7 linked regions of the Oryctolagus cuniculus genome follow. The protein of the gene in region 4 interacts with the protein of the main gene of each other region in a pairwise test. Links are inferred from orthologs where the notes say so. Each region holds a gene or a part of one and is shown on either strand. Other genes may lie near its edges.

Region 1 (4,076 bases), on a different chromosome or scaffold from region 4:
ATCCCACATGGAGACCTCCATCCCACACGGGAGACCTCCACCCCACACGGAGACCTCCATCCCACACGGGAGACCTCCACCCACACGGGAGTCCTCCATCCCACACGGGAGACCTCCACCCACACAGAGTCTTCCATCCCACACGGGAGACCCCCACGCCACACGGGAGTCCTCCATCCCACACGGGAGACCTCCACCCCACACGGAGACCTCCATCCCACACGGGAGTCCTCCATCCCACACGGGAGTCCTCCATCCCACACGGGAGACCTCCACCCACACGGGAGACCTCCCTCCCACACGGGAGACCTCCCTCCCACACGGGAGCGTCTGGCCCCGCTTCCTCCTAGTGAACACCATGGGAGCTGCATCGATGGCTCAAGGACTGGTGTCCCCGCCACCGCTTGGAGACCCGGATAGGGTTCCCAGGCCGGTTGCTGCTTGCATCTGAGAAGTGACCGGCTGGCCAAGAGATTCTGTCTGTCCCTGCCTGTCTCTCTCCGCCTTTGAAACGCATCTCTAAAAAGTAAAGAACCATTTGTCTTAAACGTCCAGGATGCCAGAACAACTCGGACCTGCGCGCCGCTGGCCCTGGGAGGCTACTGCAGTCGGTCTGGCACCAAGACGGAAACGTGGACGAAGCCCAAAAGGGACAGTTTCCAGGGTCCTGACGGAGCACTGGCACCGGGACCTAGGCCCGCGTCCGCGCTGCCGGGAATGGAAGCGGGGTGCAGGCCGGCGCCCGCTGACCTCCCAGGGGGCGCGCAGCAGCGCTACCCGGGCCACAGAGGCCTCAAGGGGAACGCAAACAGCGCGCCAGGGAGGCGAACCTGCGGCTCACTGCGCCTCGTGCTGGATCCACTGGCCGGCTCGGACCCCTTCGAGACTCGGGGCCGCGGAGCCCGGCACACGGCCCTCTCGGGTCTCAGCGGCCTCCCTCCGGGCGAGCGCAGACAGGCCGACAGCCGAGGGTCCCAGAGTTCGAAACGCCTCTGGTCCTCCGTCTTTGCGCCCCTTTCCCCGCGGGGCGCAGACTCCCCGTGTGTGCGCAGGGCGCACCTGCCGCTCCCCGCGGGCTCCAGGGCCGGGGGGCGGGGCTGCGCGCGGACCGCGAGAGCCGGGAGCGCCGCCGCGCGCCGGCAGGGGCGGAGCCGGAGGCGGGGCCTCCGCGCGCGGGCGGGGCCGGAGGCGGGGCGGGGGCGGGGCCGGGCGGCGGGTGCGCGCGCCGCCGCCGCCGCGTCACCAGCGTGCGGCACGTGCCCGTGTTTACGTCCCTCGTGGAGCCGCCGACGTCAGCAGCCGAATGGCAACACTGTGGCGATGCTGAGGCGCCGAGTTTAGCAGACGCGGCGTTCTGTCCGGCGGGTTCCGGGAGGTCGGCGGGCGCAGGGGCGGCGGCGGCGGCGGCCAGGCCGGCCGGGCCAGCGCGGACACACGCACGGCGCCGGCCCGGGCCCGGGCCCCGGCTCCTCAGCCCCCGGACGCGGTCCGGCGGCCTCGCGCGGGAGGCGGCCGCGGGCCGAGCCCGAGACCCGGCCGCGCGGGACCATGTGAACCGCCTGCTCCGGGACGCGCATTGTCTGCCCCGGAGCCGCGCCACAAAGGAGCCGGGCCGGACGCTAAGATGGCTGCGGGGTCCCGGCGGGCGTGAGCGGGCGCGGCGCCGGAGCCATGTCGTTCGCGCTCGAGGAGACGCTCGAGTCGGACTGGGTCGCCGTGCGGCCTCACGTGTTCGACGGGCGCGAGAAGCACAAGTTCGTCTTCATCGTGGCCTGGAACGAGGTGGAGGGCAAGTTCGCCATCACCTGCCACAACCGCACGGCGCAGCGGCAGAGGAGCGGCTCCCGGGAGCAGGCCGCCGCGCGGGCCGGCGGGGCCGAGGCCGACGGGGCCCGCGGCCAGGGCGGCGCGGCGGCCAGGGCCCGGCCCGCGGCGCCCGCCGCCGCCGCCGCCGCGGCGCCGCTCCGCAGCCCCGGGCCCCGGCGCGGCGCGGCCTGTCCGGAGGCCGGCCCTCGCGGGGCCCCGGCGTCCACGGTGCGCGTGGTGGGCGCCTCCGGGGCGGCCTCGGAGGAGATCGAGGTGCTGGAGCTGGTGCGTGACGACGAGGCGGACGCGGCGCCGCCGCCCGCCGCCGAGCCGGAGCCCGCGGCCGAGGAGTGCAGCTGGGCCGGGCTCTTCTCCTTCCAGGACCTGCGCGCCGTGCACCAGCAGCTGTGCTCGGTGAACTCGCAGCTGGAGCCGTGCCTGCCGGTGTTCCCCGAGGAGCCGTCGGGCATGTGGACCGTGCTGTTCGGGGGCGCGCCCGAGATGACCGAGCAGGAGGTGGACGCGCTGTGCTACCAGCTGCAGGTGTACCTGGGCCACGGGCTGGACACCTGCGGCTGGAAGATCCTCTCGCAGGTGCTGTTCACGGAGAGCGACGACCCCGAGGAGTACTACGAGAGCCTGAGCGAGCTGCGGCAGAAGGGCTACGAGGAGGTGCTGCAGCGGGCGCGGAAGCGCATCCAGGAGGTGGGCGCCGCGCGGGTCAGGGCGCCGGGGCCCGCTGCCTCCCGTCCCCCCTTCGCCGTCTTGAATTGGGTCTCTGACGGGCTCTTGGGAAGCGTGTGGGTTCCCTCCCCGGGTCCGCTCGCGGCCTGGTGGGGCGCGGAGGGAGCCTCCGAGAACGGGGGTGCCGCCGCCGTGCGCCCGGGGCGCCCCGAGCCGACTTGGAGGTCGCTTTTCTGCGCGTGAGCCGCTGACAGCCGGGTGCCCCCAGCCCTCGGCGGCGGCGCGGGTTTGGCCCGCACCGAGGGTCGTGGGGCAGGGGGCGTCAGTGCGGGCGCAGCGGGAGGCAGGTACGCGGGGCAGGTGAGGCCAGGCCTCCGTAGCTTCAGGTGCACGGGAGAGCCTGTGGCCTGTGCACGATGGACCCGGGTGCGTGTAAGGCTTGTTTGGGGCTCGCGGGGGGCCGGGGCGCCGAGCGCCCGGCTCTCCTGTAGTACCGGGCGGTGTTCTCTAGATGGGCCCGGGTGCGTGTAAGGCTTGGGGCTCGCGGGGGGCCAGGGCGCCGAGCCCCCGGCTCTCCTGTAGTACCGGGCGGTGTTCTCAAGATGGGCCCGGGTGCGTGTAAGGCTTGGTTGGGGCTCGCGGGGGGCCGGGGCGCCGAGCCCCCGGCTCTCCTGTAGTACCGGGCGGTGTTCTCCTCTAGATGGGCCCGGGTGCGTGTAAGGCTTGGTTGGGGCTCGCGGGGGGCCGGGGCGCCGAGCCCCCGGCTCTCCTGTAGTACCGGGCGGTGTTCTCCTCTAGATGGGCCCGGGTGCGTGTAAGGCTTGTTTGGGGCTCGCGGGGGGCCGGGGCGCCGAGCCCCCGGCTCTCCTGTAGTACCGGGCGGTGTTCTCCTCTAGATGGGCCCGGGTGCGTGTAAGGCTTGGTTGGGGCTCGCGGGGGGCCGGGGCGCCGAGCCCCCGGCTCTCCTGTAGTACCGGGCGGTGTTCTCCTCTAGATGGGCCCGGGTGCGTGTAAGGCTTGGTTGGGGCTCGCGGGGGGCCGGGGCGCCGAGCCCCCGGCTCCCCTGTAGTACCGGGCGGTGTTCTGCGCTAGACTGCAGTAAATGTCCCCTCACACCGCGGTACGCTTATCGCTTTCCGAATCCGGATTTTCGCTCCTTCCCACGGGTTTGCTTTGTGCTAAATGTGACTGCAATTCGCTGTTTCTCTTCTGGGCTCTGTCTGCCCTAGCATCTTTTTGGAAGGAAGTGTCAGGAGGATTTGCTGTAGCGTTCTGTGCGGTTTCCTGGCGGCAGCAGTAAGGTCAGGGCTGCTTTTTTACTCGACTTAGAGAGATACATAGTAGACTCTAAATCCCTGGCTGAGTAGGCCTGTCTCATCTAGCTTTAATGATACACTGAAAGGGGGCTGTGGTTTTTAAATTCAGGCAGGTCGAAAGTGAGCTTCTGGAAACTGTAGTTTTCTAAGACTTGTTAGAGTGACTGTAGATTTTTAAGTAGTGTGTTTTCCTAGTTAAGATTCTATTGGCTGTAAAATTTTCAACAGAAAAAAAATTAACTTTTTAAGGCCATTGGGAAACAATTAAAA
Region 2 (3,933 bases), on a different chromosome or scaffold from region 4:
CGTGGGGGGCCGGGTCAGGGCTGGGGTCCCGCGCCCCGACCCGCACCGCGGGCCCTCGGGGCCCCGCCCCTCCCCGACCCCCGCCAGCCCGGCCCTCGGGGCCCCGCCCCTCCCACCCCGCCAGCCGGGTCCCCACACCCTCTCCCCACCCCCCGGAGAGCCCCGCGCCCCCTCCCCGCGCCCCCCCCGCGCCGGGACCACCGGGCGCCAACCTTTGTTTTGGTCCAGAAACTCCTCAGTGAAGATAGGGACGTCGAAGGCGGCCAGGCCGTCGCAGTCCCCGGCCTGGGTCGGGGGGCGAGGTGGCTATGCTGGGGGGAGCTCCCGGGGCACCTAGGCCTGCGCCCGCCCGCGGCTCCCCACACCCACCCGGCCGGCTCCCTGCCCCCTTCCCGTGGCTCCCCACACCCACCTGGCCTGCTCCCCACGCCCTCCCGGCCGGCTCCCCATGGCTCCCCGTGGCTCCCCGCCCCCTCCCGGCCAGCTCCCCGGGCCCTCCCGGCCGGGTCCCCGTGGCTCCCCGCGCCCTCCCGGCCTGCCCCCCATGGCTCCCCGTGGCTCCCCGCCCCCTCCCTGCCTGCTCCCCGTGGCTCCCCGCACCCCTCCCGGCCGGCTCCCCGCGGCACCCCGCACCCTCCCTGCCTGCTGCCCGGGCGGGCACAGGGCCGCGCTCACCTTGTACCCGTTCAACACGGTGTTCAGCAGCCCGGAGCCCGAGTCCTCTGGCGGGAGGGAGGGGCAGGGTCAGCGCCCATCACGCAGTGGCCTTGGCCATGGCCGGGCTGTGGCTCCGCCCCCACGCCCCGCCCACCTCTCTTGGCTTTCTTCTCCTGGATTTTCTCGGCGCACATCTGGTAGGCCTCGGACTGCTGGTAGGCCCGCAGCTCCCGCATGTACTGCTGCTTCTCGCGCTCCGCCTCGTCCAGGTACCGCTGCGGGTGGGCGGGCAGGTGGGCCCGAGCCCCGCCCCGCCCCGCCCCCGCTGCACCCTCGGTGGCCCCGGCCCGCACCCCACTCGCAACAGGCGCAGACCAGCGCTGGCCTCCGTCGGACCCGCCTGGGTTTTCCACATTTAAACTAACGCGCAAATCTGGGTTCAGCAGAGACCCGGCCCTGTCCGACCGGGCGGGCGCTGACCGAGGCCGGTGCCCCCTTCGGCCCTGTCCAACCCGGGCGGGCGCTGACCGAGACCGGTGCCCCCTTCGGCCCTGTCCGACCGGGCGGGCGCTGACCGAGGCCGGTGCCCCCTTCGGCCCTGTCCGACCCGGCCGGGCGCTGACCGAGGCCGGTGCCCCCTTCGGCCCTGTCCGACCCCGGTGGGCGCCGACCGAGGCCGGTGCCCCCTTCGGCCCTGTCCGACCCCGGTGGGCGCTGACCGAGGCCGGTGCCCCCTTCGGCCCTGTCCGACCCCGGCGGGCACCGACCGAGCGAGGCCAGCCAGGGCGCGCCGGGGCCCCTCGGCCGCCGCACCTGCTTCTCCGCCGGCTGCAGCTTGCTCCACTCGGCGCCCAGCATCTTCGTGATCTCGGGGAACGGCAGGTCTGGGTGGCGCGTGCGGATCTGCTCCCGCCGCTCGTTCAGGAAGCGCACGTAGCCGGTGACCGGCGCCTTGGGCCCGTTCGGCAGGACCTTCTTCCGCTTCTTGCCCTTGGGCCAGCCGCGCTTCCTGACCGGCTGCGGAACGGGGCGCGTGGGCAGGGGCCGGGGCCCCGAGAGGGCCAGGCTGGAGGAGGACCAGGTCCAAGGGGGCCTGGACCTGGGCAGGCGGACCGCGGGTCCCCTGGGGGTGTGGCTTCTGATTGTGGGCGTGGCCTCTGACAGAAAGAAGCGCTTATAGGCGGCCCAAAGGAAAGCTCCGCCCAAAGGGCGGGGTCACCGGGATGTGGGCGGGGCGAGGGGGGATAGTGGGACAGTGTTCCCCGGATACCGGGCAGTGGGCGGAGCCACAAGACTTGCACACGGGGCGGGCGGGCCCTGTGCTCACCTCCTCCTCCTGGGACCCCTTCTCGCCGGCCCGCGGGCCCTCGGCGCGCTCCTGCTTGACCGCGACCACGAAGCCCCCGTGTGGGCCCGGAGCCCTGCCGCCCGCCGGCCTGCAGCCACGGGGCACGGGGTCACCAGGGTCACGCCGGCCCCTGGAGCCCAGACCGCCGCCCGCCGGGGTCGGGACATGGGCAGATCGGGGAGGGGACGCAGAGGCGGCCTTGGGAGGACGGAGCCCAGCCGGGGGGCGCGGGCCGGGTCAGGACGGGAGCCCGAGGGGGCCTAGGAAGGAGCGGGGCTGGGGAAGGGGTGGAGGCGGGGCGGGGGCAGGAGGGGCTGGGGAGGGGGCCGGGGCAGGGCGCAGGCCGGGCTGGGGAGGTGGCGACCCGGGAGAAACCCTCCAAGGGGGCAGGGCGCTGGGGCGGGGGCGGCGCACTCACGCGGCGGCCGCGCCGGGCTGCTTGGGGCCGTGGGACATGGCGGCTCCGGGCCGGACCTGCAACGCAGACGCGCGGCGTCGGCGAGGGGCGCCCGGGACCCCGGGGGGTGCGCTGGGGGCGGGGACGCGCTCGAGGGCGGGCGCCGGGGGCTCCTTTGTTGGGCGATCGCCGCCCCCGGGGGCCCGCCCGGCCCCGCCCCCGGCCCGAGGCGGCCCCGGCCGCGCCCCGCGCCCCCCGCGCCCCCGCCCTGCGCGGGACCCCGACTTCCGCGCGGCTTTCACCTCCACAGAAACTTTCCCGGCCCTGGCGGCCGCCGCGACGCGCCAACCAACCGCCCCCGGCATGCTAATGAGGCCCCGGCGAGCGGCCCGATTGGCCGGGGCCCGCCCCGGGGGCGTGATCATGTAGATGAGGGTCGGCGCGCCGCTCGGCGATTGGCCGCAGCGGCTGCCGAGTCGCCGGGGAGGCGGGCCGGGGAGGCGGCGGGCGGCGCGTCAAGTTCGGCTGCGCGAGGCCGCGCTCGGGGCCAATCCCTGGCGTCCGAGGCCGCGCGGGGCGGAGCCTCTTAAAGGGCCAGCAGGCGCGCGCGGATCCGGGTTCGGCCCCGCCCCGGTTGCCGTGGGGACGCAGGGGGTCGCTAGGGCGAGGGGGCTCTGGTTCTTAGCACCCGCAGAGCTGGGGAGGGGGCCAAACCCGCCGTGGCCGAGAGGCTGGAGCGCTGCGTGGCCGAGACCGGGCCTGGGTCAGGCGGGGGCTGGACAGGCGACCTGGGCCGGGGTCAGGCGGGGGCTGGGCAGGAGACCCGGGCCGGAGTCAGCCCCATCTGCACGGCCGTCAGTCCTCGGGCACCCTGGGCACCTTGGCCGCCCCCCGCCCCATCTGCCTGCTCACGCACAGGTCCTCGCACAAACCAAGGGGCGAGTCCGGTGTCCACGGGGCGGGTGCGTGGGTTTGGGAGCGGCTGGCGCTCACGGACGGTCAGCCCGGCAGTCCCGGGGTGCGGCTGCGGGAGAACCTGCGCGAGGCTCCCCGCAAAACGGGACAGACGTCTGCGGCCCGGAGTGCGGGGCCGAGTACTTGCGGGCCCCGCAGACGTCACGCCGGGGAGCACGAACGCGCGTGGGGCCCCACGGCCGGGCAGGGGACTCCGCGGGGACAGGAAGGGGGCGTGGTCGCCGCGGCCTGAGGGAGGGGCTGGGCACTGCCTTCGGGGGTGACGAGAATGTTCTAAATTTAGACGGCGCAGACTGGAATCCACGGACGCCCTGAGGCTCTGCTGCGGGGCCCCGCCTCCTTGCTGTGATTGACAAGGCTGCTGTTGCCGTAGGAACTGCCCTGCGGGCCCCGCCTCCGAGCCGTGATGGACAGGCTGGCGTTGCCGTAGGAACTGCCCTGCGGGCCCCGCCTCTGTCCGTGATGGACAGGCTGGCGTTGCCGTAGGAACTGCCCTGCGGGCCCCGCCTCCGTCCGTGATGGACAAGGCTGGCGTTGCCGTAGGAACTGCCCTGCG
Region 3 (3,912 bases), on a different chromosome or scaffold from region 4:
CTTAGCTTGAGCCCTGCTGCATCCAAGAAAGGTGGGTGGGGGGTGGGAGGCATGTTTTGGTGGCTGAGACTGTTTGGTGAAAAATGGGAAGCAGGGTCTAACCACCCTGGAAGCAACTGGGCCCCTTAAGGAACAGGCACTTCCTATGTTTTAACTGTGAGAAATAGGGAGAGGGTAGCCTATCTGGGCATCCCAGACACACATGGAGGGAGCCTAGGAAACAGGCTCCTTTCTCAGCTTCTCTACCCTGCCACCTGCACTGGCTCTCTAGAAAAACAAATTGCGCCTTTGTCCCATTCTCACCGAGAGTTTCTGCCCACTGATGATGCCAAGCGACAGAGTGGATCAGTCGTGAGGAAGTGACTCAAATGAGGAACAGTTTAGGTAGCCCAGACAGCCGGTGTGGCGTGTGTATGTCACGCGAGCCAAAAAGCAGTCTGGCTCTGCCACTCATCACAATTGGAAATATCTTCTCAGAGGAAAGCAAGACATAAAGCCAGTTGATAATCTATACAAATTTTATTTTGATATCAATTTGTATGGAAACAAGCAGGTGTCAGCATGATGCAGGCACGGAAAAAAGGGAAAGAAAAAACTCCAGTGATAATTGATCTTGTATGTACACCATTGGGTTTCAACAAGGACAGGAAGTCTTACTGTTAGCTTCCCGTGGGAACTCCAGTTTCTGCACCTTCCCCTGCTGCCTGTCAGCATCACGATACAGCAGCGATTTCTGGGCCTTCAACCGGCAAGCCAGGCACATGAAAATCGACTCCACGTTCTGACTCTCTTTGGGGTCCTTGGCTGATGTCTCAAACAAGAGCATGTTGTGGGCATCGGCAAATTTCAGGGCTAAATTGGAGGGCACCTGGATCTGTTCCCGCAAGTCACACTTGTTGCCCACAAGCACTTTCGGGACGAGTGGGGGCACTGCATGCCCATTGCACTCTTGGATCCACATTTTCAGGTTGGTGAAAGATGTCATCTTGGTGACGTCATAGACAAAGACCACTGCATGCACATTGCGGTAGTAATGCTCAACCATGCTTTTACGGAAGCGTTCCTGACCCGCTGTGTCCCACACCTGAACCTGGAAGATACAAAAGCCAACACGCAGAGTCAGGAAACAGGAGAGACGTGGTTCCGCAGCAGTATAAAACACGAGGTTACAAGTCCTGACAAAGGAAGTGCTTCTTTCACAGATTAGCAGCATGGATTTATCAAAGGATGAAGCGAAGTTTCTGGGTTTGGCAAGCTTTTCTCCAGGTGGTTAGTTGAAGGGCGGGCGTTCTGCCCAGTCTGGCCTGCATCATGTTTCCGAATGCCTGGGTTCAAGTCCCAGCTCTGCTCCTGATTCCAGCTCTGGCCATTACAGGCATTTAGAAAGTGAACCAGGGGATGGGGGAGTTTCTCTCTCTCTTCTTACTTATTTTTGACAGGCAGAGTGGACAGTGAGAGAGAGAGACAGAGAGAAAGGTCTTCCTTTGCCATTGGTTCACCCTCCAATGGCCGCCGTGGCCGGCGTGCTGCAGCCGCCGCACTGTGCTGATCCGATGGCAGGAGCCAGGTACTTCTCCTGGTCTCCCATGGGGTGCAGGGCCCAAGCACTTGGGCCATCCTCGACTGCACTCCCTGGCCACAGCAGAGAGCTGGCCTGGAAGAGGGGCAACCGGGACAGAATCCGGCGCCCCACCTGGGACTAGAACCCGGTGTGCCAGCGCCACAAGGCGGAGGATTAGCCTAGTGCGCCACGGCGCCGGCCCTTCTCGCTCTCTCTTTCTCTCCTTCTCCCTCTCTCATTAAAAGAATATTGCCAATTGAAAACCACACATACAATAATGATGACCATTGACAATATTTTAATAGAATCCAATGCAGCCTTAGGAGACGAGCAGCCTCCAGCCTTCAGCTCTTCAACAGGTGACCTGAGTTCACAGCAGACGTCCGATCCAGCCCCCTGTTAATGCACCTGCGAAAGCAGCAGAGAATGGCCCAAGTGCTTTGGCTCCTGCACCCACGTGGGAGACCTGGAAGAAGCTCCTGGCTCAGCCCTGGTCATTGTGGCCATCTGGGGAGCGAAGCAGCATATTGAAGATCTCGCTCTGCTCTCCCTCTCTGTGTAACTCTGACTTTTAAATAAATAAATAAATCTTTAAGAAGTAAGAAGGATGGAGGTCAGCATTATAGCGCTGTGGGTTAAACTGCTGCCTGCAAGACCAGTATCCCATATGGGTGCTGCTTCAGGTCCCGGCAGATTCACTTCCCATCCAGCTCGCTGCTAATGACCTGGGAAAGCAGCAGAAAATGGCCCAAGTGCCTGGGCCCCTCCCACCCACGTGGGAGACCCGGATGGAGTTCTTGGCTCCTGGCTATGGCCTGGCCAAGCTGGCTTTTTCTGGCCATTTGGAGAGTGAACCAGCAGATGAAAGGCCTCTTTATCTCTCTGCCTCTCCCTTTCTTTCTGTCACTCTGCCTTTCAAATAAATCTTTAAAAACATATACAAAAATCTTTGTATGCTATGGTTACAATTTTTTAAACTATTAAACTTAGACATATGCATAGTAAATCAAAACATTAATATTTTTTATTCTTTAATTTTTAAAAATATTTATTTATTTATTTGAGAAGCAGAGTTACAGACAGACAGAGGGGGAGAGAGAGGGAGGTCTTCCATCAGCTGGTTCAGTCCCCAAATGGCCGCAACAGCTGGAGCTGGGCCGATCTGAAGCAAGGAGCCAGAAGCTTCTTCCAGGTCTCCCACGTGGGTGCAGGGACCATCTTCCACTGCTTTCCCAGGTGCATTAGCAGGGAGCTGGATTGGAAGTGAAGCACCCAGGAATTGAACTGGCACCCATATGGGATGCCAGCGCTGTAGGCTGTGGCTTAACCTGCTACAGCACAATGCTAATTCTATTCCTTAATTTTTAAAAACATTTTTATTTATTAATTTGAAAGGCAGAGAGAGACAGAGACAAATATTTATAGAAAGAACTCCTGTCCACTGGTTCACTCCCCAAATGCCAGCAACAGCCAGGGCTGAGCCAAGAATGAAGCTGGGAGTCAGGAACTCAATCCAGGTCTCCCACAGGGGTGGCAGGAACCTAACTACCTGAGCCATAACCTGCAGCCTCCCAGGGTCTGCATTAGCAGGAAGCTGGAGTCAGGAGTTGCAGCTGGGTATCGAGATGCTGCATGTAATCCAAGGGCCCAACTCCTGCCTCCCATAAAAGGTTATTTATGGACAGTGGGACTGTGGGTGATTTTTATACTCTTTTATGTATTTTCCAAGCTTTCTACTGTAAGCATGCATTGCTTTGTTTTTCATTAGTTTTTAAAGGAAGCTAGTGTTAAAAATCTCACATTTTAGGGGCCGGTGTTGTGGCATAGCAGGTTAAGCCTCTGCCTGTGGCACCAGCATCCCATATGGACGCTGGTTTGAGACTCAGCTGCTCCACTTCTGGTACAGCTCTCTGTTAATGGCCTGAGGAAAGCAGTGGAAGATGGCCCAAGTGCTTGGGCCCCTGCCATCCATGCAGGAGACCCAGAAGAGGCTCCTGGCTCCTGGCTCCTGGCTTTGGCCTGGCCCAACTCCCAGCCGTTGTGGCCATTTGGGGAGTGAACCAGTGGATGGAAGCCCTTTCTCTCTCTCTCTCTCTCTCTCTCTCTCTCTCTCTCTCTCTCTCTCCCCATACACACACACACACACACACACATATCCTCCTCTCTCTAATTCTGCCTTTCAAATAAATTTTTTTAAAACTCACATTTTAACTCTCTCTCTATATATTTTTAATTAATTAATTAATTTGAAAGGCAGAGTTACAGAGAGGCAGAGGCAGAGAGAGAGAGGTCTTCCACCTGCTGGTTTACTTTCTAGATGGCCGAAACGGCCAGAGCTGCGCCAATCCGAA
Region 4 (3,500 bases):
CTTCCCAAGGTGACCCGGCTCTCTCCCCTCCTCCCAGAACTGGACAGCCCAGCAGGAGGGCTTCCCCACAGTCAGGTCAACAAAGCCCTAAAGGCTCTCTGGGGTAGAATTCCCAATGCACGCCTCTCACAGCGCCATGGAATGACTGTAACATCTGAGTACATGTTCTCCCTTACAGTCTCAAGCCAGGTGCTTCCTCCCGGTCTCCCATGCGGGTGCAGGGCCCAAGCACCTGGGCCATCCTCTACTGCCTTCCCGGGCCACAGCAGAGAGCTGGTCTGGAAGAGGAGCAACCAGGAATAGAACCCGGCACCCATATGGGATGCCGGCACCGCAGGTGGAGGATTAGCCAAGTGAGCCACGGCACCGGCCCCACAGTCTCAAGTTTAACCTGGAGGGCTTTTTCCTAGCGGTTCCTAATTCCTCATCCAGCGGCACACTTTTCCACCGCCTTCCTCTGCATTACCCACCCTCCTCTGGCCGGGAGAACTCGCTCTCTCCTACCTTGCAACCCAGAAAAGTCCGAGAGACTTAAACTGTTGGAGGGCTCGGAGCTCTTCATCTCCATCTCGGCGCGCAGGGTGGCGATCTCCAGCTCGTAGTCTCCCCGGATGCGCTCCATGTCGTCCAGCTCGGTCTGCATGCGGCAGAGGTCCTCCTGCAGCGACGCCATGTCGCTCTCATGTTCACTCGCCGAGTCGGCCGCCGCCTGCCGCAGGCTCTGGATCTCAGTCTGGGCCAAGTGCAGCTCCCGCTCGATCTCCTTCAGCTCGCTCTCCTTCTCCCGCTCTAGCAGGGAGATCTCCTCCCGCAGATGGCGAAGCTCACCTGCAAGCCCAAGGGTGCAGAGGGTCAGGGGGACGGCTCGTCTACCGCGTGCCGGCGGCACAAAGTTCAAGGTGGACTTACGGCTTGTCCGCAAACTCCTGACACCCCAGTGTCCAGGAATAAAAGGAACAGAGCGACTCTGTGTGGTAGGCTGAGTAGAAAAGCAGATTTTGAGGCCTGCTACCAAATGCAACAACTTGGGCTGCTGTAAACAAAGAGTATTAAGTACTTCCTGGGAGACACCTGACAGTTAAAGACCAAATTTAATTTACGCTATTTTTTTTAAGATTTAAAAAATTTATTTTCATTGTTCTTGGAAACGCAGAGAGAGATGGAGGCAGAGAGACAGCCAGATCTTCCATCTGCTGGTTCACTCCCCAAATGCCCATAACAGCCAGACTTGAGTAAAGTCAAAGCAAGGAACCCAGAACCCCATCCAGGTCTCCAATGTGAGTGGCAGGGACCCAGGCACTTGAGCCACCATCTGCTCCCTGCCAGGTGTGCGTTAGCTGCAAGCTGGGTCAGAAGCAGAGGCTGGACTTGAACCAGGCACTCCCCAGTGCAGGCCAGGCATCCCAAGTGACAAGTTAACCACTGTACCAAATGCCTATCCCTACTTGATAGTGCTTTATTGCTGGCCTGACTTCTAAAAATTCTCCTAGTTAAAAAAAATTTACAAAAATTATTTTCACCCACTCAAGCTGAGAGCTTGGAAATTATAGAGCCTCAGAGGTCCCACGAACTGCCTGTGGTAAGTACGAGATCCAAAACAACTGCGTATTTAGAGTCCACAGCTGAAAGCCACATGTTAGGGGCCAGCGCTGTGGCACAGCGGGTTAATGCCCTGGCCTGAAGTGCCGGCATCCCATATGGGCACTGGTTCGAGACCTGGCTGCTCCACTTCCAATCCAGCCCTCTGCTATGGCCTGGGAAAGCAGTAGAAGATGGCCCAAGTCCTTGGGCCCCTGCACCCACGTGGGAGACCTGGAAGAGGCTCCTGGCTTCGGATGGGTGCAGCTCTGGCCGTTGTGTTCATCTGGGGAGTGAACCAGCAGATGGAAGACCTCTCTCTCTCTCTCTCTCTCTCTCTACCTCTCCTCTCTCTGTGTAACTCTGACTTTCAAATAAAAATAAATAAATGTTAAAAAAAAAAAAAAGAAATCCACATGTTAGTTCACCATATAACTAAGCATAGAGTGAAAACCTAAATGGCACTTGATACGTGCTTTTTAAATTGACAGAGGACGAAGGGAATATCATGTTGCCATTTGAAAGAAAGTGGCAGGCCGGCGCCGCAGCTCACTAGGCTAATCCTCCGCCTAGCGGCGCTGGCACACTGGGTTCTAGTCCCGGTTGGGGCGCCGGATTCTGTCCCGGTTGCCCCTCTTCCAGGCCAGCTCTCTGCTGTGGCCAGGGAGTGCAGTGGAGGATGGCCCAAGTGCTTGGGCCCTGCACCCCATGGGAGACCAGGATAAATACCTGGCTCCTGCCATCAGATCAGCGCAGTGTGCCGGCCACAGTGCGCCGGCCGCGGTGGCCATTGGAGGGTGAACCAATGGCAAAGGAAGACCTTTCTCTCTTTCTCTCTCTCATTGTCTACTCTGCCTGCCAAAAAAAAAAAAAAAAAAAAAAAAAAGTGGCAGCTCTACACTGAAGATCTGAGGTTTCCACAATATATTAACTAGAAGAACAACAAGCTACAAAATGCATGGTATTATCTAATTCTTGCAAAAGTTACCTTTACGAGACATATATAACCCACAAATGTACAAAGACAGAAACAGGCCTGGGAAGATCTACGTCCCAGACCAGCCAGAGCCTTGCTCCTGAGCGGTGCCGCACATGACGGGGATGTGGACTTTCCACCTCCTATGTTTCTGCGCTGTGTGAATTTTCACAAGGCCTGTGTTTTATAATACACAGAGGCTCACGAGAGAAAAATGTGTCAGCGCTCTCGGCATCTGTGCAGCATCTCAGGGCTTCTGGACACAGGAACCCATCTGGGATTGACAGAACCTAAAAGAGGAAAGGTAGTAAAAGGCATAGGCAGTGGGGCCAGCACTGTGGCGTACTGGGTTAAAGCCCTGGCCTGCAGCGCCAGCATCCCATATGGGCATTGGTTCAAGTCCCGGCTGCTCCACTTCTGATCCAGCTCTCTGATATGACCTGGGAAAGCAGTAGAAGATGGCCCAAGTGCTTGGACCCCTGCACCCATATGGGAGACCCAGACGAAGCTTTGGATCAGCTCAGCTCCGGCCATTGCAGCCATCTGGGGAGTGAACCAGCAGATGGAAGACCTCTCTCTCTCTCTCTACCTCTCTGTAACTCTTTCAAATATATAAATCTTTTTTTTTTTTAAAGGCATAGCTATTAATAGGAACTCAGGATTTGGGGGCCAGGATGGGGGAATTCAGGACTGATTGGGCGGCTCAGGACCTTCCCACGGGCACATTCTCCTCATCTCCTGTCCCCAGTCTCTGCTCATCTACTCCACTTTTCCTAGGCTCTCCCCACAGCTCCTCAACAGCCAAGTCCTGCAAGAAATACTCTCCTCGCGCCCGCGTGTGCAGCTGGTCTACCTCCGGCAGCACTGCAAGCCGTAGGAAGGTGGGGCCCACGGCTGCGCCGCTCACCAGGAACAGCTCTGGGCCCTGGGCTTGGCCCAGTAAACA
Region 5 (3,500 bases), about 160 Mb from region 4:
CCCCCGTGGAGGCAGATTTACCCCCGTCTGCCTGCGTGCATCTCGTCGTGGCAGAGGGGCCCTGCCCGCGTGCACGTGGTGCTTGCCTTGCACCCCGTGTGCCACGTCTTCCAGCACTGCGACCCAGGGGTCTTGTCCTTGACCATCAGCCCCTTCGGGCCGCAGACGCTGCTTCTGCAAAGGGCATGAGGCTGGCTGTGACTCGCTCCCTGCAAGCCACACGTCCCTAGTTCCACTTGACCATTACTCAGCCCATTTCCTTTGTGGTCATTTATTTGAAAATCAGAGTTACAGAGAGAAAATGAGATGTCCCATTCTCTGGTTGATTCCCCAGATGGCCACGGCAGTCAGGACTGGGCCTGGCTGAAGCCAGGAGCTTCCTCTAGGTCTCCCACGTGGGTGCCGGGGCCCAAGCACTTGGGGCATCCTCCGCTGCTTTCCCAGGCCATCAGCAGGGAGCTGGATCGGAAGTGGAGTGGCCGGGACTCGAGTTGGCACCCTTATGGGATGCTGGTGTTGCGGGCGGCAGCTCCACCTGCTGTGCCACAGCGCTGGCCCCTGTTTATTTTTTTGAAATGCAGAAAGAGAGAGACTGTGAGAGATCAGTCTTCCATCTGATGGATCACTCCCCAGGTGGCCACAGTGGCCAGGACTGGTTCAGGCCTAAGCCGGTGCCCAGATTCCATCCAGCGCATTGCATGTGGTGCAGGGGCCCAAGGACTTGTGCCATTTCCTCGGCTTGCCAGGCGCGGGAGCTGGGAGCTGGGACTGGAGGCCGAGCAGCCAGGATGCTGGTTGCAATGCCAGCTCCAGACAGCGCAGACGCTTCTCTGGCTGCACCGACAGCACCAGGCCACGCTTCCTGCGGCATGCCCGCGTGCCTATCGGCTCCCTCGGCCCCTGAGGTTGTCCGCCTGGTGTCGCCATCCTGCCTAGGCATGGATTTCCCTTCCTGTTCTGCCTGCCGGGTCTTGCCCCTCTCCCAGGCTGCAGGCCCCAGGGCCGGAGCCCCGTGTCTGGCTGCCCCTCGTCCCTTCTCCCTGTTCCCTGAGGACCTGCGGGCAGCCGCACAGACCCCCACAGCCCACCCTCTGGGCTTGCTCTGGGCCACTGCCTCGGGTGCCCCTCCACACGGTGTTCTCCTGTCTGGTCTCATCGCGTGCCCAGCTTTCTGCTGCCACGCTTGGATTGCTAATTCATTCTCTCTCTCCCTCTCTCCCTCTCCCCCTCTCCCCCTCTCCCCCTCCCCTTCCCCCTCCCCCAAGTCTTCCAGGTCAGGTACCGCACTCTCTGGCTTTTCCTCACACATGAGTGTTTTCCTGTGTGTTTGAAGTGCAGTAAGCGTGTTTTAAGTTGTAACTGACGGTTTCAGTGACTGCAGTCTTGGGGGGTCTAAACCAGCTCGTTTAACTTTTGATCTCTGGGAGGTTTTAAGGTGTACGGAGCCCTCGCGCCAGTGCCCTCCTGGGCGGCTTCCTCTGTGCTGGCCTCCTCCTTGAGCCCCAGTCACCGTGCACAGCTCAGAGACCAGCTCCAAGCCGAGCCACACCAGGGACGGGGCAGGGGCAGGGGTGGTGTACAAGTGATCAGGATTCTCCGTGGAGGAGTCTTACCTCCCCGGTTGGCCCCTGGGTCATTCACAGGTGTCCCTGTGGACTCGCCTCTGCCTGTCATTCTGTGCCAACAGGGGATGGGCCCAGGAGGGCAGGTGGGGGGATGGCCACCAGCGGCCTGCAGGAGATGCGGGAGCAGAGCGGGTGGAGAGGAACACGATGCTCCTAAAGCACACTAACCGCTTCCCCTGGCGTGGCCCGGGGGCGGAGAGCAGGCAGCAGCTCGCGCCCGGGCCCTGTCCTCCCTCCACCTGCCGGCAGGAGCGCCGGGAGCCCGCGGCCAAGGCCGGGAGGAAGTGAGCTAATAGATTCCCGCGGCCACGTGAGCCTTTCTGAGTGTCCTCTTCCCTGCGGGCAGACGCACTCCACGAACGGCCCGGCAGCGGGCAGGGGCAGGGTTGGCCCCGTGCTGCGACAGCCACGTTGGCTGGGTAGCCACTGTGTGTCCCTCTCTCTTCCAGCTCGACCCTCTGCCCGAGCAGGTGGTCCAGCAGAGACCCAACGCGAACGCCGTCCGCTCCATGGAGAAGGTCATGGACATCCACAGTGAGTGGTCGGGCCCAGCCGCTGTCAGCTGGCCTTTGCTGAGCGGGTAGAAGCAGCCACAGCCTCCCGTGACGACACATTACCCCACTGCACAGGCCAGAGAGCGGGGGCCCCAGCAGCGCCGGGCAGCCCAGGGCTGGGGGCCCGAGTGGGGGGCTGCAGGGCAACCTCCTACCACTGCCCTGTGAGCACAGGCCCTGGGGGACCCCTGCCGGCTCGCCTGTCTCACACGTGTCCGCGCCGCAGATCCCTGTTTATCTCTGGGTCTCGGAGACCCGAGTGGGCAAGGCCCTCCGAGAGGTGGGTAAAGCCAGACATCGGCTCCCGGTGTGCCTGTGCGGGGGCTGGGTTCCTGGCCTAGAGCCGCTTCCAGCCCCGGGCACACCCCCAGCGTCTGTCAGTCCCAAGGCAGGGGCCCCACGGGAGCCCCCACCCCCAGTCCCACGAGGTCCCAGACATCGGCTCCCGGGTTCCTGGCCCAGAGCCGCTCCCAGCCCCGGGCACACCCCCAGGTCTGTCAGTCACTGCACTTGCGGGGACCTGTAGGTGCGGAGGGAGCGCCAGGTGATCCCAGGCAGGCTCGATGCCCCTGGCTACCCGGAAATGTTGCCCAGACGAGTGGGCTGGCCTGCCGCTTCAGAGAGGTGCTTTTGACTCGCGAGACCCCGGGCCCTGCGACAGCTCCTGCCTGGTCCTGAGTGCGCCTTCCCCGCCCGCAGGCAAGTACTGGCGCTGCCTGCAGCGCCTGTCCTCCACGGCCGGGCACTCCCTGATGGAGGCGCAGAAGTGCGAGAACGAGGAGGCGGAGACGGTCACGGCCATGGCCTCGCTGTCCGTGGGCGTGAAGCCGGCCGAGAAGAGGTGAGCTCGCGGGCCCTGGCAGAGCCTGGGAGAGGTTCCGCCCTGAGCAGGGGGCCGGGGCGGGGCCGGGGCGGGGCCGGGCCGGGCCCTGCGGTGACGGCCCTGTGGTTCTCTCCCCTCTGCCCCCTCCACGCAGACCCGAGGAGGAGCCCATGGAGGAGGAGCCGCCCCTGTAGCGCTCTGGAAGGCGCTGTTCCCTTGTTTGTTTGTCTCTGTCTTGAAGCTCAGCCAAGAAACTTTCCCGCTCACCCGCGTCTGCCGCGGTGCCCCCTCGAGTGCTGGGGCGCAGGCGCGTGGCCGCAGCGGGAGCCCTTCTGCCGCCCACACGCGGGCCTGGCAGCGTCCCGCGGAGCACGGGACAGACACGGCAGCGAGCAGACACACGGACACGCGGAGGCCAGGCACACCGCCGGCTCCCAGGAGGGAAGCCGCCAGAGGCCTGCGGCGACTCGTGGCAGGGTTGCCGGATTCAGTCGATGC
Region 6 (3,500 bases), on a different chromosome or scaffold from region 4:
ACCTCCGTGTTCCAGAAATACTCGAACACATCTTTCCTTTCCTCTTGCTGCGGAGAAATGGAGCAGCGTCCAGCCGTTGGCATCGCGGCCGTTCGGAGAGTAGCCTTGCTCGAGCATCTTCCGCACGGTGTGGACATCCCCAGCGGCCACCGCGGCCTGGATCTGCAATTCTTCCTGCAGCTCAGGGTTCCTTCGACAGTGGTGGTGTAACATCCTAGCTGAGTCCGCTTGTTACAAAGGAGTCATTAGGTCACAGGGATCAGCCTTGAAGGGCAGGTAGAAGAGATGAAATTGAGCGTACTTGGCGCCTGGGAGTTGTCCACTAGATATCTCAGCACTGTTCAAGGCCTCAATCAGAAATCCTTGGTAATGACCCTTCCTACTACTAGTGAACATGCGGCTGTTGAGACCAAAACTTTCGATTATTTCCCTAAGATTACAAACTATTTCAAAAGAAACAGCACTCTTATTCAACAAAAAAATCACTCACAGCAAACAGCCCACGAGCACGGCATGCGGGTTTAGCTAAGAGGGAGGAGATGCCAGGTAGCAAATCAGGTGAGTGCCCATCTCAGGAGCTCTCACTCACTGGACGCACCACAGAGGAGGTGGAGCTACAAGCCCGGAGGAGGTGGAGCTACAAGCCCGGAGGAGGTGGAGCTACAAGCCCGGAGGAGGTGGAGCTACAAGCCGGGAGGAGGTGGAGCTACAAGCCGTTCAAGGGTGCTGTCACTGATTGGAGATAGTCAACATGGAGCAATAAATGGACAACCCATTTACTGGGAACACCAAAGACAATGAAGGCAGTGGGTTAAAAAAAAAAAAAAAAAAAAGCCCCAAACAAAAACCTTTTGACTATTTCTCTCAAGTATTTCAACAACATTTTATCTTTAGCACAAAGCGAGGAAGGCTGGGTAGAGAAGTAGCAGATTAAGAAATCAGAATAAAATGTTGGGATGGGATTTATTTTCCTTTTATTGGTTTGTTTGTCTTTCTATCAGCGCTTCCCGCTTCCTGTTACTGTCTACACAGCCTCTGGTACATGTTTCTAAATTCTATTTTCCACTCCATAAATAATCAAAGTAGCAACAAATAACATACATTTTAAAACTCTGAGAATCTAAATAATCTGTCAATTAGCCCTACGATAAAATTATCTGAAAGGAAAGAGTAGCACACTGAATCCCTTCACTCACTAGGTCACAAGAAGTGTCAGAAAATGACATCGCCTTCATACCAAGTTCAGAATGAAACGGTGAGACGCTGCACGTGTGTGTGTGTGTGTGTGTATGTCTGTGCGTTACAAATTCAGTTCAGTGGGATTTTTTTTTTCTTTTTTTTTTTGACAGGCAGAGTGGATAGTGAGAGAGACAGACAGAGAGAAAGGTCTTCCTTTGCCGTTGGTTCACCCTCCAATGGCTGCTGCAGCCAGCACACCGTGCTGATCCAATGGCAGGAGCCAGGTACTTATCCTGGTCTCCCATGGGGTGCAGGGCCCAAGGACTTGGGCCATCCTCCACTGCACTCCCTGGCCACAGCAGAGAGCTGGCCTGGAAGAGGGGCAACCGGGACAGAATCCAGCGCCCCGACCGGGACTAGAACCCGGTGTGCCGGCACCGCAAGGTGGAGGATTAGCCTAGTGAGCCGGCGGCGCCGGCCCAGTGGGATTTTAAGTTAAGTACATACAGAAATCTAAACTAACTAGCTTCCAGGAAGTCATTCCAAACTGGGCTAATTTGTAGAAGACTAGACTCATCTCTTAACAAGTACCTTCCATTTCTAAAAATAGAAAAAAACAATTATGTGATAAAGCTCTTTAAAGACACTGTGCTCTCCAACGTGGATTCAGGATCTCAGGATAGTCTTGCTACTAACAGTAATGTATCTTGCAAAACCTCTCGTTACGGACTGCACACGGGTAAACGGAAGCCCAGCTCGGGTCGAATCATTACAGATGGCGTGTACAGGCACCTGATGGTGCTCTCAACAGAGTCGGGGTCTTCACTCAGCCCGAAGCGTCACTACCAAGTGGTGGAATTTTGTCACATGACTGCTATCGAGCGCCATTTTCTCCGAGAAAACCAGGAGATGAGAGACTTAACAACTTGTTTCCTCGGTAAGATTTCCCTCACTCCTTCACTTAATGACAAAACTAAAGTCTCGTCTCAGAAATTTTGAAAGAAAATAAGGAATCTTGTCGGAATAGGTCTTTCCTGATTCTTATCGTAGTCCGCGTGTTAAAGGCCATCAGAGGGAGTTAATGGGATCTACGGTCGCACGCTCAGACCATCATCTTTCAGATTCTGCTGTGGTGGCAGACCGGTCTACCGTGGCAGAGGGTGAATGCGGCGATGCAATCCTGAATTTTCTTCCAGCACACACTGGCTGGCTTAAAGGAAGAAACAGAAAGCTGAACAGGTGGTCTCCCAACACAGCCCCCGCGTCACCTCACCTGACGGAAGAATGTCCCCTCTCCTGGTATGTGGATTGCCTAGTAACCATTGTGCACATACAGCATGGTGGGGATGGGCTCAGTGTGCGTCCTCCGGCAGAGCCCCAGAGCCTTCTCAACCTGCAAGCAAACAGAGTAAGAACCGTGGGAAACTCCTTGAGCGAATCCAGAACCAGAGCTGCCCGCGGGGTCTCGGCACTTGACGGCAAATCCAGAGGGCTGCGGACGCAGATCAGTTCTTTGACAAAATGCTTTCGTCACTTACGTATTAATCTCCAAGATGAAATCAAACGTGATTTATTTTCAGGATCCCTCCCTCCCACCGGATGGCAGCTTTACAAAAAAGATTAAGTGAAGAAAAGAATAAATCACACATTCAGGACTTGTAGGTATGCACGAATTCTTCTTCCTCTGTTGAGAATATATTCCCAGACTGGCTCCACTTGTTTCTGACACCATGATCACCTATTCTCTCTAAAGAGGACTAAAACGAGAAAGCTTGTGCATTCGATACAGAAGGTGGCCGGCACGAAAAAGCAATCTGCGGTGATTCTACCTTTAAAAGCCACTCTTCGTGTTCTCCGAAGACACCAAGCCCCTCATGCTGAAACGGACTCCTCTATGAAGAAAGACGGCAGACTCAGAAAAACCTTAACAGTCTTGCCAGCTTCCCCGGGATTCTGAGAACACTCATGTGTATGGCGCGCTTCCTCCCTGCCGACGAAATCCTAGCTCTGCGCTCCACTAGGGTTAGGGCCACATGCACAGTGACTTCCACACAGCAGGAATTACGTATGGGAGCCCCGCCGCACCGCTGCGTGGTGTGTGGTGTGCCAAGCCCTCTGTCACCTGCACCTTCAGGAGAGGCAGGGCCAGGCCTCCCGCCGGCTGCAGGTCTCCATCCCGGCACAGGCACAGCCCCGTCTGCCTCGTCCTCTCTTCTCACCTGACTCTCCCTTGTCACACTTCTTCAGGGAAGGCAGAGAGCTTACCAACTTGTACTTGGAAACAGAATGGGATTTAAAACTCTAGTATTTCTAACTACATG
Region 7 (4,286 bases), on a different chromosome or scaffold from region 4:
TCTCTCACCCTCTCTTTCTCTTTCTCTCTATAACTCTGCCTTTCAAATAAATAAATAAAAATTTTTTTGACAGAGTTTGATAGTGAGAGAGAGAGAGAGAGAGAGAGAAAGGTCTTCCTTCCGCTGGTTCACTCCCCAAATGGCCGCCACAGCCAGCGCTGTGCAGATCCGAAGCCAGGAGCCAGGTGCTTCTTCCTGGTCTCCCATGCGAGTTCAGGGGCCCAAGCACTTGAGCCATCCTCCACTGGCACTGAATTTTCAACAGTAGAGTGAAATATAGTCCTCCCCAAAGAAAGTTGTGTTTAATGGAGATAATTCTGCTTCAATTTGGAAATTCCAATTAGTTAAAATGTCCAATTAATTAAACTGATATAAAGCAAGAAAACCCTTTCCGTTTTCCAGTTGCAGTAACCATGTTTCAACTGTCCAACAGCCACTGAACGTGTGGCTACTGATTTGGACATAGCAGCTTTGAACCTTTTGTTGTCACTTCTAGAGGGTTCAAAGACCTCACCAAGTTCAGCCTTGCTTCCATGTCGCTTGGTTAAGAGCTGTTCCTATAAGGGAAGTTTAATTGGCCCAGTCCTTAAGAGGCCACTTGGGACTGCAGCAATCTGAGCGCCTGGATTCTGGTCCTGGCTCTGCTTCTGATCCAGTTTCCTTTCTCCCGTTCCCTTATCCTGGAAAATGCTGTGCGATGGCTCAGGTCGGAGTTCTGGGCCCAGCCCTGGCTATTGTGGGCATCTGGGAAGTGAACCAGTGGATGGGAGATCTCTCTGTTAGGAAAAAGAAGGAGGGGGGGAGGAAGGGAAGGTGGGAGGGAGGGAGAGGACGGAGGGAAGGAGGGGAAAGGAAGAAAGAAAGAATTGTTCTTTTCACATTTACAAGGCAATTCGCAGTGCAAAAGAATCTACAAGTTACTTTCCGGGTATTCCAAGTTCATTATCCGCATTTGCCTAGGAATAAATTCCTCGTCAAAATCGAGGAAACTTTCAGAAGGAGGAAAGCAGGTTATGGATCTGGATATAGAAAAACAAGTTCAAGATGAAGTGGTTGCAGCATTGTCGCGCGATGTTAGATTTCAGTGCTGCAGATTAGGGCTACCGATTTTCACCTTCCCGACAAGCAGCTTTCAGGGTCTGCTCTTCTCGGAGCCTACAACTTCTCTCAGAAGAATCCAGGCGGTAGCTGCTGAACTTGCATAGATAGGGATGTAGCCAAAGTCCTCTTCTATTTTTAGCCAGAGCAACTGTTGGCCAATACAACTTTCTGGGCAGAGAAGTGCACCCTCCTGCAAAACGGACACGCAGAAGGTTAGCCCTTTGCCAGGTCCCCTTTGAAATCCCCTCACACTACTCCCACCGAAACTCGATAGCGCAATTGTTTTCCGCAGCGGCTGCAGCCAGCCCCATCACGCGCGCGCCCCGGGCACCCCCTTCGCCTTCTGGGTCAGGGCTCGGAGCCCCACCGCGCTGCCCGGCTGGGGGCGTGGCCTGGCGCGAAGGGGCGTGCCCAGGGCCGGGGGCGGGGCTGCCGCGCCGGGAGGCGGAAGTTCTCGCGGGCCGCGGGGACGGCGCACGCACCGCCAGTCACTTGTCAGCGCTCGTCTGAGGCGGAGGCAGCGCCGCGCCGGACCCGAGGTGAGTGTCCGGCGGCTGCAGATGCGCGTCTCGGCTCTGTGGCAGAGAGGAGGGGAGAAGCTGGTCTCCTCGTGGGCCGGCTCGCTGAGGAGGAGGAAGGGGCGCACCTCGGGCCGGGGCGGCTCCTCAGGTGCTTTCTGGGCGCGGAGCGGCGGAGGTGGGAGAGCGGCCAGGGCGAGAGGAGCTCCCGGGAAGAGGCAGTGCGGGGGTGGGCGTGAGGCTGTAGGGCTAGCCCTGGCAGTTCGGGTCGGCCGGGAGGAGCGCCCTGGAGGCTGGGGGGTGGTGCGGGCGGGCTCCGGGGGGCTCCTGAGCCCCGCCGCGCCGACCTTCCCCTGCCGGCTGCCGGCGTGGCTGGGCGGCCCGCCTCGGGTCTCCCCACGACCTGCGCCAACCCCTTGGGGGAAGACGTGAGTTATTTTTGTGTGTGTGTGCGCTCAGGGTCCTGAGGATCCTTCATCCCCACCCCCCACCCCCAGTATTTACAGTTGTGTAACCTGTTCAGGGAAAACTTGTGCGCCCAGACATAAAGCTCGTTAAAAAAAAAAAAAAAAACAACTTGCCTAATTGTTGGGGCTTTTGCAAGGCGGTGCGTTTGACAATAAGTGGAAAAAGGAAGGGCGTATGGACTGGGCAGAACTTGGAAAGAAAATCCGTAGCCTGCGCTGGGCAGGGCAGGTCTAGGGTGTGATCGCCGGCTCCTATCCCAGGTCCGCCTCCCTGACCGCGAGGACGTCTGAACCCGCCTGCCACGGAAGCAGCGCGCCCGGGAGCCTTATTTGGCCAACAGGGCGAGGCGCGAACCTCGGCTGGAAACTGTCTCGTCGGCTACTTTTCGTCCTACGCCTGTGGCTTCTGTAGCTCTGCTCCATTATCCCTCTATTGGAGGGCAGGGGCCGGGGGAGGGAACCTCAAGATATTTCTTCCTAATTTCAGGCTCTACTTGTCACTTGGTGCAGATCATCGCAAGTTCTCCACCCTAAGAAGCTCGGGTACAAATGTGGCAATACCAAGTTTCCTAGTCCTAAAGTGAAGTTAGTGTGTAGACTTCACCCGAAAGGAATCCCCACGTTTTCTGTGTTTCAAAGCAGGTTGCTGTTTCCTGCTGACTCACTTATTTAGGAAGGATTTGGTCACTAATAGCTAGAGGGAGGAGACCCGGAAAAGACCACTACAACTATTGCCATGGCTTAGGGATCAGAAGGTCTTGAAGGCAAATGAATTGCAGGTGACGCTAGCAGGAGAGTCCAGCTTGGAGATGTCGCTGGCTACAAGTGCAAAGACTCTGGCCTCGTCCTGTGACTGTGACCTTGCAGGTCCTATAAATTCTGACAACAAGTGGGAGAGGTCAGGAAGGGAGTCCCCAAGTTAAGAGAAGTTGCATGTCGATGGCTTGATATATAAATTAAATAGATTTTCTTGTAGGGAAGAATGGGCTAGAGGAAGTTGAGCCTAAAGTTCACATACTTCCCCTGCTAGAAGTTAAAGATTAAAAAAAGGAGGGCAGGCAGCCTGCGAAAGTCAGTTGGCTTTACATGATTCTGATTTGTCACGTGTGCCAATAGCAAGATTTTCTCGACTACGCTACTAGTTTTAATGAAGATCGTCTTTTGTATTGCAGGAAAACACCACCTCCCCGCTATTAATTTTTCACCTACATGCAACAGTTTAACTTCTGGCGTGGCTTTGGGTCTTTTTAGTGCCTGTGTCTGCTACTTCAGTACTGAAGTAATGTGTTATTGCCTGCTAGTTTAATGTACTTCCACGCCATGGAAAAGCTCATTTAGTGCCTAAGTAGATACAGTGCAGATTTTTCCCTGATTTAATTTTTCTTTAAGATCCAGGCTTATTTGAAAGTTGGGTCTAATTTTCCCTTTCTGAGAAGAAGGAATCTGTTTGCTTTAAGTTTGAATAGCTGCATCTGTCACTCTGAATCTGGTGTGAAGGGATAGTAATTTTCAGTGTGTTAAAAAGTGGAAAAATATGTCAAGACAGGTAATATAAAGTGAATTTGGTTGAACAGCTCAGATTTTCCAAGGAAGTGTGTCTTAAATGGCTGCTTCCTAAAGTGTCTTTTAATAATTTTAAAATTATACACCTGTTAATATTTTTAATACTTTTAAAAGGAGAGACCTGTTATGTTTCTTAGTATTACATTAAAAAAAAAAAAAACTCCATTCCTCCCAATTTCTCCCATCCCTATAAAAACCAAAACACCCAATCAGACTTCGTTTTTTTTTTTTTAAAGTACAACCTTGAGAGTCATTAGGAGCACAAGCAAAAAAAAAAAAAAAAAGGAAAAAAAGAAAGCACTGAGGTGCTGATTCTTTTTTAAATCTCAGTTCAGTTTCATGTGTAAATGTTAACCCTGTGGTCCTATGGCATTCAGTCATAGTTGTATTCAGTGAGTGCTCACCCCTCCCTGTGAGAAATGTGTATGAAACGAAAAGCCGCTTCTGCCTAAATGTCACCATACTCAAGCATTTGTCATTGCCTATTTGAGGGAGAAGTGAATATTACTTTAAGTATAGAAGATACCATGTCCCTGGAAGTGGAAATACGAGTTGTAGTTCATGATTGGAGAAAAGAGTTTTGTGCACAGGAAAGCATCTTCTGTTTTAAACGATTTAGTGTTTGGAAAGCATGAAT

Evidence for each region.
Region 1: the proteins of CCDC136 (region 4) and JMY interact in binary tests that used the Homo sapiens proteins (3 or more experiments, as listed by UniProt). The two-hybrid records come from large-scale screens. The link is inferred for Oryctolagus cuniculus from reciprocal best matches to the Homo sapiens genes CCDC136 and JMY.
Region 2: the proteins of CCDC136 (region 4) and HMG20B interact in binary tests that used the Homo sapiens proteins (3 or more experiments, as listed by UniProt). The two-hybrid records come from large-scale screens. The link is inferred for Oryctolagus cuniculus from reciprocal best matches to the Homo sapiens genes CCDC136 and HMG20B.
Region 3: the proteins of CCDC136 (region 4) and RAB33A interact in binary tests that used the Homo sapiens proteins (3 or more experiments, as listed by UniProt). The two-hybrid records come from large-scale screens. The link is inferred for Oryctolagus cuniculus from reciprocal best matches to the Homo sapiens genes CCDC136 and RAB33A.
Region 5: the proteins of CCDC136 (region 4) and HDAC4 interact in binary tests that used the Homo sapiens proteins (3 or more experiments, as listed by UniProt). The two-hybrid records come from large-scale screens. The link is inferred for Oryctolagus cuniculus from reciprocal best matches to the Homo sapiens genes CCDC136 and HDAC4.
Region 6: the proteins of CCDC136 (region 4) and ASB7 interact in binary tests that used the Homo sapiens proteins (3 or more experiments, as listed by UniProt). The two-hybrid records come from large-scale screens. The link is inferred for Oryctolagus cuniculus from reciprocal best matches to the Homo sapiens genes CCDC136 and ASB7.
Region 7: the proteins of CCDC136 (region 4) and PDLIM5 interact in binary tests that used the Homo sapiens proteins (3 or more experiments, as listed by UniProt). The two-hybrid records come from large-scale screens. The link is inferred for Oryctolagus cuniculus from reciprocal best matches to the Homo sapiens genes CCDC136 and PDLIM5.

What each region holds. Positions count from the first base shown.
Region 1 is NC_091445.1:3,019,643-3,023,718, forward strand, and holds the start of JMY (junction-mediating and -regulatory protein), read left to right. Parts: upstream 1-1,276; 5' UTR 1,277-1,671; coding exon 1,672-2,511; intron 2,512-4,076. UniProt on the Homo sapiens protein: Acts both as a nuclear p53/TP53-cofactor and a cytoplasmic regulator of actin dynamics depending on conditions. In nucleus, acts as a cofactor that increases p53/TP53 response via its interaction with p300/EP300.
Region 2 is NC_091447.1:59,467,388-59,471,320, forward strand, and holds the start of HMG20B (SWI/SNF-related matrix-associated actin-dependent regulator of chromatin subfamily E member 1-related), read right to left. Parts: upstream 2,801-3,933; 5' UTR 2,768-2,800; coding exon 2,705-2,767; intron 2,480-2,704; coding exon 2,424-2,479; intron 2,094-2,423; coding exon 1,985-2,093; intron 1,675-1,984; coding exon 1,471-1,674; intron 933-1,470; coding exon 812-932; intron 723-811; coding exon 676-722; intron 286-675; coding exon 213-285; intron 1-212. UniProt on the Homo sapiens protein: Required for correct progression through G2 phase of the cell cycle and entry into mitosis. Required for RCOR1/CoREST mediated repression of neuronal specific gene promoters.
Region 3 is NC_091453.1:107,859,340-107,863,251, reverse strand, and holds the end of RAB33A (ras-related protein Rab-33A), read right to left. Parts: intron 1,091-3,912; coding exon 635-1,090; 3' UTR 501-634; downstream 1-500.
Region 4 is NC_091434.1:164,996,392-164,999,891, reverse strand, and holds part of CCDC136 (coiled-coil domain-containing protein 136), read right to left. Parts: intron 829-3,500; coding exon 505-828; intron 1-504. UniProt on the Homo sapiens protein: May play a role in acrosome formation in spermatogenesis and in fertilization.
Region 5 is NC_091434.1:1,667,491-1,670,990, forward strand, and holds part of HDAC4 (histone deacetylase 4), read left to right. Parts: intron 1-2,074; coding exon 2,075-2,159; intron 2,160-2,878; coding exon 2,879-3,020; intron 3,021-3,156; coding exon 3,157-3,196; 3' UTR 3,197-3,500. UniProt on the Homo sapiens protein: Responsible for the deacetylation of lysine residues on the N-terminal part of the core histones (H2A, H2B, H3 and H4).
Region 6 is NC_091443.1:9,946,838-9,950,337, reverse strand, and holds part of ASB7 (ankyrin repeat and SOCS box protein 7), read right to left. Parts: intron 2,573-3,500; 5' UTR 2,453-2,572; intron 265-2,452; 5' UTR 214-264; coding exon 3-213; intron 1-2. UniProt on the Homo sapiens protein: Probable substrate-recognition component of a SCF-like ECS (Elongin-Cullin-SOCS-box protein) E3 ubiquitin-protein ligase complex which mediates the ubiquitination and subsequent proteasomal degradation of target proteins.
Region 7 is NC_091439.1:71,014,178-71,018,463, reverse strand, and holds the start of PDLIM5 (PDZ and LIM domain protein 5), read left to right. Parts: upstream 1-1,486; 5' UTR 1,487-1,640; exon of another isoform or gene 1,641-1,770; intron 1,771-2,347; exon of another isoform or gene 2,348-2,629; intron 2,630-4,286. UniProt on the Homo sapiens protein: May play an important role in the heart development by scaffolding PKC to the Z-disk region. May play a role in the regulation of cardiomyocyte expansion. Isoforms lacking the LIM domains may negatively modulate the scaffolding activity of isoform 1.